Rattus norvegicus: one gene and its partner. The protein of the gene in region 1 binds, or shares a complex with, the protein of each later gene. Links are inferred from orthologs where the notes say so. Each region holds a gene or a part of one and is shown on either strand. Other genes may lie near its edges. The genes, in order: Tnnt2 and Tnni3.

What was found.
Region 2: the proteins of Tnnt2 (region 1) and Tnni3 are in contact, whole or in part, in a crystal structure (PDB 4Y99), measured with the Homo sapiens proteins. The link is inferred for Rattus norvegicus from reciprocal best matches to the Homo sapiens genes TNNT2 and TNNI3. Residues at the interface, in NP_001263274.1 of Homo sapiens: Glu214, Lys217, Lys218, Ile221, Leu222, Arg225, Arg226, Lys227, Leu229, Ile231, Asp232, Leu234, Asn235, Glu236, Leu239, Arg240, Ala243, Lys244, Leu246, Trp247, Ile250, Tyr251, Leu253, Glu254, Ala255, Glu256, Lys257, Phe258, Asp259, Leu260; in NP_000354.4 of Homo sapiens: Arg68, Glu71, Lys72, Ala75, Leu76, Arg79, Gln81, Pro82, Leu83, Leu85, Leu88, Gly89, Phe90, Leu93, Gln94, Leu96, Arg98, Leu100, His101, Arg103, Val104, Asp105, Val107, Asp108, Glu109, Glu110, Arg111, Tyr112, Asp113, Ile114.

What each region holds. Positions count from the first base shown.
Region 1 is NC_086031.1:49,829,033-49,832,837, forward strand, and holds part of Tnnt2 (troponin T, cardiac muscle), read left to right. Parts: intron 1-658; exon of another isoform or gene 659-700; coding exon 701-787; intron 788-1,061; coding exon 1,062-1,097; intron 1,098-1,888; coding exon 1,889-1,922; intron 1,923-2,828; coding exon 2,829-2,892; intron 2,893-3,089; coding exon 3,090-3,206; intron 3,207-3,805. UniProt on the Homo sapiens protein: Troponin T is the tropomyosin-binding subunit of troponin, the thin filament regulatory complex which confers calcium-sensitivity to striated muscle actomyosin ATPase activity.
Region 2 is NC_086019.1:78,341,340-78,345,640, reverse strand, and holds the start of Tnni3 (troponin I, cardiac muscle), read right to left. Parts: upstream 3,071-4,301; 5' UTR 2,967-3,070; coding exon 2,956-2,966; exon of another isoform or gene 2,851-2,955; coding exon of another isoform or gene 2,810-2,850; intron 2,696-2,809; coding exon 2,683-2,695; intron 2,514-2,682; coding exon 2,427-2,513; intron 2,340-2,426; exon of another isoform or gene 2,175-2,339; coding exon of another isoform or gene 2,121-2,174; intron 2,016-2,120; coding exon 1,974-2,015; intron 1,682-1,973; coding exon 1,550-1,681; intron 1,114-1,549; coding exon 1,024-1,113; intron 558-1,023; coding exon 381-557; intron 1-380. Other genes in the region: Dnaaf3 (dynein axonemal assembly factor 3), read right to left, coding at 3,941-4,301. UniProt on the Homo sapiens protein: Troponin I is the inhibitory subunit of troponin, the thin filament regulatory complex which confers calcium-sensitivity to striated muscle actomyosin ATPase activity.

The DNA of each region.
Region 1 (3,805 bases):
TATATCTATATGTCTATATGTCTATATATCTATATATCTATATATTTATTTATCTATATATCTATATGTCTATTATCTATCTATTTATCTATATATCTACATGTCTATTTATCTATATATCTATATACCTATATACCTATATATCTATCTGTAACTCTATCTCTCTACCTTTCTATCTCTATCTCTATATCTATAATCTATATATCTATATCTATATCTATATCTATATCTATATCTATATCTATCTATATATCTACACTAGGGAAGACTGAACTCAAATTTCCAAACTCCCAGGGAGGCAAATTTGGGACACTTACCAGTCAGCTGGGACCCTTCTGTTGGGTTTCACTTTTCCTGCAAAGGAGCAGACCGCGAATACTGTGGGCATGCAGGCCCATAGTCCCTGGGGGCACTGACCTACGAGTGGGGTTGAGACGTGGGTGAGAGTGCAGATGAGTGGGTGAGGCCATATGGATCTTTGCAGAAATAGTCCTGGGCTGGGTGTGGCTTTGCGATCCAGTTTGAACCAGGAGCCAAGCAGCATTCCTTCTGTCCTTTGGGTCCGTGGCTCCCGTATGTTGTGAACCCAGATGTCACTGGCTCTGTTCTACCGTGCCTGGTGTGATCTCTGTTCTGGGGTTGCTGTCTGCATGTTGAGAGAGGGGCCTGGTTGATCTTGGTGTCTGTTTCACCTCTCCAGAGCAAGAGGAGGCAGTGGAGGAGGAGGATGGTGAGGCCGAGCCTGATCCCGAGGGTGAGGCAGAGGCAGAGGAGGACAAGGCAGAAGGTACAACCCAGGGTGAGGGGCTGAGGGGCCGGGAGGGCCGGTGTTTTAAGAAGTCGTCCAGCAGGTGCTTGCTAGCTTGTGTGCCTGAGATCCCTGTCTGGGCTGGGAGGCAGCAGCCTGTTGTCTGGCTGAAATTTGTCAATCCAGAGCTTCTTTGGTGGTTGACCATACAAATCAGCAGGGTAGCCTGCCTGACCATGGGAAACATCCATCACTCTTGAGGGGAAAATTGAGCTGGAACGGGACCTCTGTTGATTGCTCATGTTTTGTTTAGAGGTTGGTCCTGATGAAGAAGCCAGAGATGCTGAAGGTAAGTGATGCTGGGCATCAGCACGAGAGAACCCCTCAGAGTAGACTTGGGTAAAACCACCCAGGGATTCCGGTATAACCAGAAGTTATACAGGTAAGGGTTGGAAGGCAGAACTTGGGGGTACGTGCAGGGCTTGGGGAACTCTAAACCCTTGTCTTCTTCATCTCAGAGAAATGGCCTTAGTGTCCAACAGGAGAGGGAACCAGTGTCTAGTCCCTGGCGTGTGCAGGGTAGTGCTCTTAGAAGTAACATTCGCACCTGACGCTCCTGGTACCCAGGCTATGCCAGTGAGGTCTGATGTTTGGAGGAACGACTTCCAAGACATCATGGTCCATGCTGTGGCATCATGGTCCTGGTCAGGCTATAGTCTCTGTCAGCTGTCTCCAGTCACACATACCTAGGGCAGGAGGGCAGCCTTGGAATCATGACCACTAACTCTTCTGGCCCTGTGGCCATCAGCAAGTCCAAGGTTCAAAACATTAGGCCTGAGAGGAATTCTAGGGTCAGGGCCCCTGGGGCCTTCCCACAGGACTGTGCATTACTGCAATGTCTGAGAAGTAATCTTCCTAACCCTGAACAGGCAAGTATCCTGGGCCTGTAAACACAGCCAGCCATTCTCTGTGACCTTACCTCCAGGTCACCTTCATGCCTGTTGGTGATTATGGAAGTCTAGACTTACAGGAGAGGCCTCCTGTGCAGATAGGGAGACAGAGGCCCACAGGTGTCCAGCTCAGGGTGGAGCTGGCAATATTCAGGTTTTCTGACCCCATACACCCTTCTCTCTCCTCCAGATGGTCCAGTAGAGGACTCCAAACCCAAGCCCAGGTGAGCAGGATGCCTTATCTATGCCCAGTGAGGCCAGTGAGGGAGGGTGACCAGGAAGGGATAGGAGTGCATTCGCACACGCGCAGGTGCTGTGGTTAGCACAGACTTCCACAGAGAGCTGAACAGGTTGTGCACTGCACAAGAACCTCTGGCTGACGGGAGGAATGGGAGCTGAACTTTGCCTTGACCTCACTACCTTTTATTTACACTAACATGGAGGGAGGTACAGTCATCTACAGAGTGGGGAAGGGCTAGTCATGGCCACAGGACGACTTCTCTCTTTGCTGGGTTGGTACCTAGGGGAGAAGTGACATAAACGTTGTGGAACCAAGCAGTGATACTGTGCCATGTCCCAGGGATGACAGCTCCAGGGAGCTGCAAAAGGGCAGAGCAGGGCAGCTTCAGCCCATACCTGGAACCACATCTGGTGGCTGTGAGTAGGGCCATCGAGATAGGGAGCACTTCCTTTGGCAATGTTTATCCTGCCAGCAGATGGCGCCATAGTGCCCTCGTGGCCTTTAGTGGCTCCTACCAATCATATCCCTGTTAGTCCCTGGGTGCTCTGTGTATCCTGGAGCATCTCCTTTTAGCTGAAGGCCCATGAAAATATGAGGAAATCAAGGATCAGAGCGCCACTAGGGACACCATCTTAGCTTAGTACTTCTGCTTCCTAACTGTGTAGTTTTAAGCCTTGGTTTTCCTAGTGGAGGTCAGCACTGTCCCCTCCAGGGATTTAGTGAGAGGACAAAATGAAATTACCTTGGTTGCTGTCTGAGCAAGTGAGGTAGACACTGGTGTGGACATTATGACAGAGGTGAACATTCCTGCCGGACAAAGGCCCCAGAGGCTCCAGGAACGCATCCCCAGTGGCTTTGGTGACCCCTGACTCTCCATTCCTCTCTGCAGCAGGCTCTTCATGCCCAACTTGGTGCCACCCAAGATCCCTGACGGAGAGAGAGTGGACTTTGATGTGAGTGGTGGCTCTGTGGGGGAGCGAGGCAGGCGGGGGTGATAACAAGAGCTCTCCTAAGAGCGAAAGAGCTCCTGATTGGCCGTTGGCAGGATGGTTTAGGTTCAGGTTCAGGCGCCAAACCAAGGCACTACCTTTTGCACTGAGCCCGCCCATTTCATGGGCGTGGCAGGCTCTCAGGCAGACCCTCCCCACAGGACATCCACAGGAAGCGCATGGAGAAGGACCTGAACGAGCTGCAGACTCTGATCGAGGCTCACTTCGAGAACAGGAAGAAGGAGGAAGAGGAGCTCATTTCTCTCAAAGACAGGATCGTACGTGCCAATCTTCCACAGTTCGCCCTGTTCTTCCCCTGCAGCCTGCCTCAAGCTGCCAACCTGTTGGGTACTTCTCTGTTGGGCCCCTGCCACCTGCCTCTCAGTGTGGATGCTCCTTGCCAACAGGAACTGGATCTGATAAGTTCTGGTTCTGGCTGGGCCTAACCAGGCACCACTGGCTGTGGACTACAGACCAGGCAAATGTCTGTGCTCTCCCTGTCCCTGACCCATCAGTCATAGGTGCTTCACTAGATGGGGAGCATGGGATCGGTTTCTGGAAACCTAGACGACACCCAGAATTCCATTCTGAGAGAGGAGATTATCTGCTTCCTTGTTAGTCTGTACCTCTAACCACCTACTTTCCTCAAATGGGCATGCCAGCCATACGTCTTAGAGCACAGAGAAGCTGTCCGGGCCGGGGCCGGAGCTGGGGCTGGGGCTGGGTTCCGGGGCCAGAGGTGGGTCCCGGGCCCGGGCAGGGGCTGGGGCCCGGGCCGGGGCGGGGGCTGGGGCCGGGGCCGGAGCTGGGGCTGGGGCTGGGGCTGGGGCTGGGGCTGGGGCTGGGGCGGGGGCCGGGGCGGGGGCCAGGGCCGGGG
Region 2 (4,301 bases), on another chromosome or scaffold:
AGTCCCGCCCATGCACTTCCTGTCTCCCTCTTGTACTTCCTGTTTCCCCTTGCATCTCCAGTCACCCCCATGCACCTGCAGTCTTCCCAAGTGCTTCCAGTTTCCCTCCTGTACTCTCCTCAAGCACCTCCACTCACCCCCATACACTTCCTGTCTCCTCCAAGCACTTCTTGTCTCCCTCATGCACCTCCAGTCTCTTTGCACTTCCTGCCCCTTGCTACTTCTTCTCTCCCTAATGAACTGTCCTCCCTTCTGAGTTCTTGAGTTCCCTTTATCCGTAGCTTCTCACTAGAACCCCAAATGTGTCTGCTCTCTGTCTGGACCTTATGGCCACTCAGACCTTCCCAAGCATCTTCCTTCTTACCCTAGCCCACACTCACCTTCTCAATGTCCTCCTTCTTCACCTGCTTGAGGTGGGCCCTCAGGTCCAAGGATTCCTTGGCCCGGGTCCCCAGTAGTGCCTGCATCATGGCATCTGCTGAGATTCTCACTCTTCGGAGAGTGGGCCGCTTAAACTTGCCACGCAGGTCATAGATCTTCTGGGTCAGATCTGCAATCTGGGAACCACCATATGGGGCAAGGAGACCGCGTCTTCCCTCTGCTTCCTCCCTACCCATAGCTTCTAACAAACAATTCCCCCTTATCCCTATCTTGCTCTCAGTATCTAAGCTTCCTCCTCTCTTCCAGCTCTGACTCCAGATTAAAGGCTCCAATCTGCAACTTTGTGCTCTTCCTGATACTCCGAGTCCCATCAATCAAAGCCTCTAACACGACCTGGCCCAATGATGTGCAGATCATTATTCCCAGAGCCCAACTCAGTGCTCAGTTTCTACAGACCGATTTAAGCCACCCAGGTTCTACCTTGCACGTGTTGTCTCTCTGTGGGAACAGCTGCCTTTGCCACTGCCTGCCTTCTGCTTAGAGTTGTCTAAAGTACACACAGACATAGCCCTCAGTCTGAAGCTACAGTCCTGGACATCTCGGTCTACAGTGAAGGTGCTCAGACTTCCCCAGGCTTCCCACCTCAGTGATGTTCTTGGTGACTTTTGCTTCCACGTCGTATCTCTCTTCATCCACTTTGTCCACACGAGCGTGAAGCTGCCGGCATAGGTCCTGGTGAAGGAATGCATGGGCGTTGAGAGGAAGGCTGGAGACTCAGGTCTCTGATCTGAGAAAGGAGACCTCCCGGTCTGAGGAAGGAGGCCTAGGCTCTGGACCCCTGAGTTTGAGAGAGGAGTGCTGGGGTCTGGACTCCTGAGTCTGAAGAAGGAGGGGGTGAAAGGAAGCTGACACTGGAATCCGCACTCTAGGGAACTTAAAAAAAAAAATGGCCAGGAGCCAAGAATTCTGAGACTTAGCAGACAAAGGCAGGAAAAATACACTGGATTTTGAATTGTAAGACTGAATGTATAGCTTGGCATAAGGATTGCAGATCCTGAGCAGAACTGGGGATGGTTCTTGTGCTCCTGATACCCAAGAGATGCCAGGGCCGAGATGAGAAACATCGGGACCCAGGCTCATCAGGAATTCCTGCTTGGTAAACTGATACCTGAAGCTCTTCAAAGCCCAGCCCATCCAACACCAAGGGCTGGCAACGCGTGCTCAGAACGCGGCCCTTCTCTCCACGTCGCTCCTCTGCCTCACGCTCCATCTCCTGCTTCGCAATCTGCAGCATCAGAGTCTGCGGAATGGTGGGAGCCGAAAACAGGGTCCCCGAAAGTATAAGAATAACAAATTTCCCTCTATCTCGCTATCTTCCAGAGAGACAGAATATCCAAACATCCAAGTTTGTGTCTTTTATTAAAAAAAAAAAACCTTCCCCGTTTCTGTGTTCTGTGCACGCGCACGTGTGTGTGTGTGTGTGTGTGTGTGTGTGTGTGTGTGTGTGTGTAGGGGGACTGACGCACTCCGAAACGAAACCACTCCCCAAAAGCTCCGCCCACCAAGGCCCACCCCTCCGAGCTCTTCATCACCTTCAACTGAAGTTTTCTGGAGGCGGAGATCTTAGACTTTTTCTGCCAGGGTGATAGGGAGAAAGGTCAGTGAGAGGTCCCAAAGTGGACATTGGGCGGGGCTGCAAGGCACCACCACCCACTCAAGTGCATAACCATTCGGCTCACCCATTCTTCAACCAGAATGCTGAGTCCACTGGAAGCCACGTCCTTCGGTCCCATCCACCAATCTTTGTCTCTGACTAGAGCTACACACTGCCTATCTATCCACTGCTAATCACCGTGCTCACGCCTATGCCTTGCTGTAGGCAGAGGAGTTTCTCCCACAGGCAGCTGTCACCAACCCCAACCTGTACCTCTTTGAAATTCTGCCCCACCCATCGGGCTCCACCCCTTTCCAAGGCCTTGGTGCCGCCCCTGGGGTCCCAGAGGATTCTGAACCCAGAAGTACCGTCCTCTAGGACCCCTCCCCACCTTGGCATGTGGCTCGGTGGCATAGGCTCGGTAGTTGGCCGAGGAGCGACGTCGGACAGGAGCAGGCGCCGGCTGGGGTTCCCCAGCCTGAAATTGAAGCAGGCTACATTACTACCCCAACCCTCCCATCCAGTCCTTCCCGGATTCCTCACCTCTAGCTGCAGATTCCCCTGCCCATCGGTCCCCAGTCCTCTCCCTGCAGCACCCTCTCTGGGCCACGGGTTCCCTACCCCACTTCTTAGGTCACAGTGCTCACCGCATCGCTGCTCCTGAAGGGAGAGAAACCGTGAAGATAGAATCATTGACAGCAGTCCTCCTGAACAAGGTTGGGGCTACCTTTTCTACTCCCTTAGACCCCAGGAGTCTGATTCCCGAATTCTTACCTCATTTCTACAGAAATCCAACCACCCTTGCCTCCTACCATCTCAGGACAAGAATTCAACCTAGTTGCACCCTCACAAGGACCCTGAAGGCTGACTGCACCGTGTTCCTTGGGGTCTCCAGTTCAAGGTTACCAAGGTTCACATACTCATCCGCCATGCTGATCTCCAGAGGTAGAGAATGGGATTGCAGATTCCTGGAGGGTCTTAGAAGGGTGTCCCTGGTGACCTTGGAGGGTTGGGTCCCCTCTGTGCTGCTCAAGCCTCACTGAGGACACTGAGATAAGGGGCGAGGACAAAGACTAAATATACTGCTGTCTCCTCCCCTTCCCAGGATGAGCGATAACAGGGTGTGAGGGGAGCCGTGTGCAAAGCTCCAGTTAGACCAACCAAGGTGCCCGGATCTACACCCCTCCTCCTTTTGACTCTGGGCCCCAGCTCCCTTCTCCTTTAGACTCAGGAAAACCCAGTAGCAAGGTCCCTCTTCTCTCAAATCCAAGAGTCCAGACTTCAGTTTCCTGTGTAGATTACCCAAAAATCCAGGCCTTCCTTCTTTCCTCACATGTAGGTTCCTCACTAAAATGTAGTCTTTCTGTGACTTTTCTCTCCATGTTTCTGTCAGTTTCACTGCCCTTAGCATGTTTAGTTTAAAGGTTCATGTGCAGGACCCTAAGTCCTCAGCCTACACTGATGTGAAATTCAGCCAAGTCCACTTGGAAACCCACCATCCGGGGCCCATCCCCCCTTGTCCCACCCCCTTCTTGGCACTGGAGACCAACAGAGGACAGGACACACAGAGGTGACCCTGCGCTCTTTATTTGAACCGCATCCAAGGGAGGATATGTCCTTGTCCCTCCAACAGTAGCATGTCAAGAAAGGCCCAAGGCAAAAGAGGATGTGGAGCCCAGGGTTGTACCTCTGGCCTGGGATTCTTGTCAGGATAAATCTTAGATTATGATCTAAGACACACACACCCCAAAAAAGACTAGAACTGAGAGTTCAAGGAAAGGAATTTGAAATTCTAGTTATATCACTGGGGTTGAGAAGGAACGCAGAGTAAAACAGTGGGCTGAGCTGGTGTCAGTCCTGGAGCCTGCTTCAGCAGTTAAAGGTAGGATTCTTGGTCCCCGCGGTTCATGTTACATGTTTTAGAGGTGCAATCGCCGAGGACATTGCCAAAGCTTCCTGGACTGGACTTATCACTTCCGGAGGAGGGGCCAGGTCTGCTTGGGGAGGACTGATTGCTTCTAGAGGCAGGACTACCTCAGCCTGAAGTGGGCTCATCGCCTCTAGAGGTGGAATCTGGTCAGCTCTGGGTGGGCTCATCGCCTCTAGAGATGTGGCCTGGTCAGCCTGGGATAAGCTAATTGCTTCTAGAGAAGGGGTCTGGTCAGCCCGGGTTGGGCTCATCAATTCTAGAGATGGGGACTGGCCAGCCTGGGGTGGGCTCATTTCCTCTAGAGGCAGGGTCTGGTCAGTCTGGGGTGGGCTCATC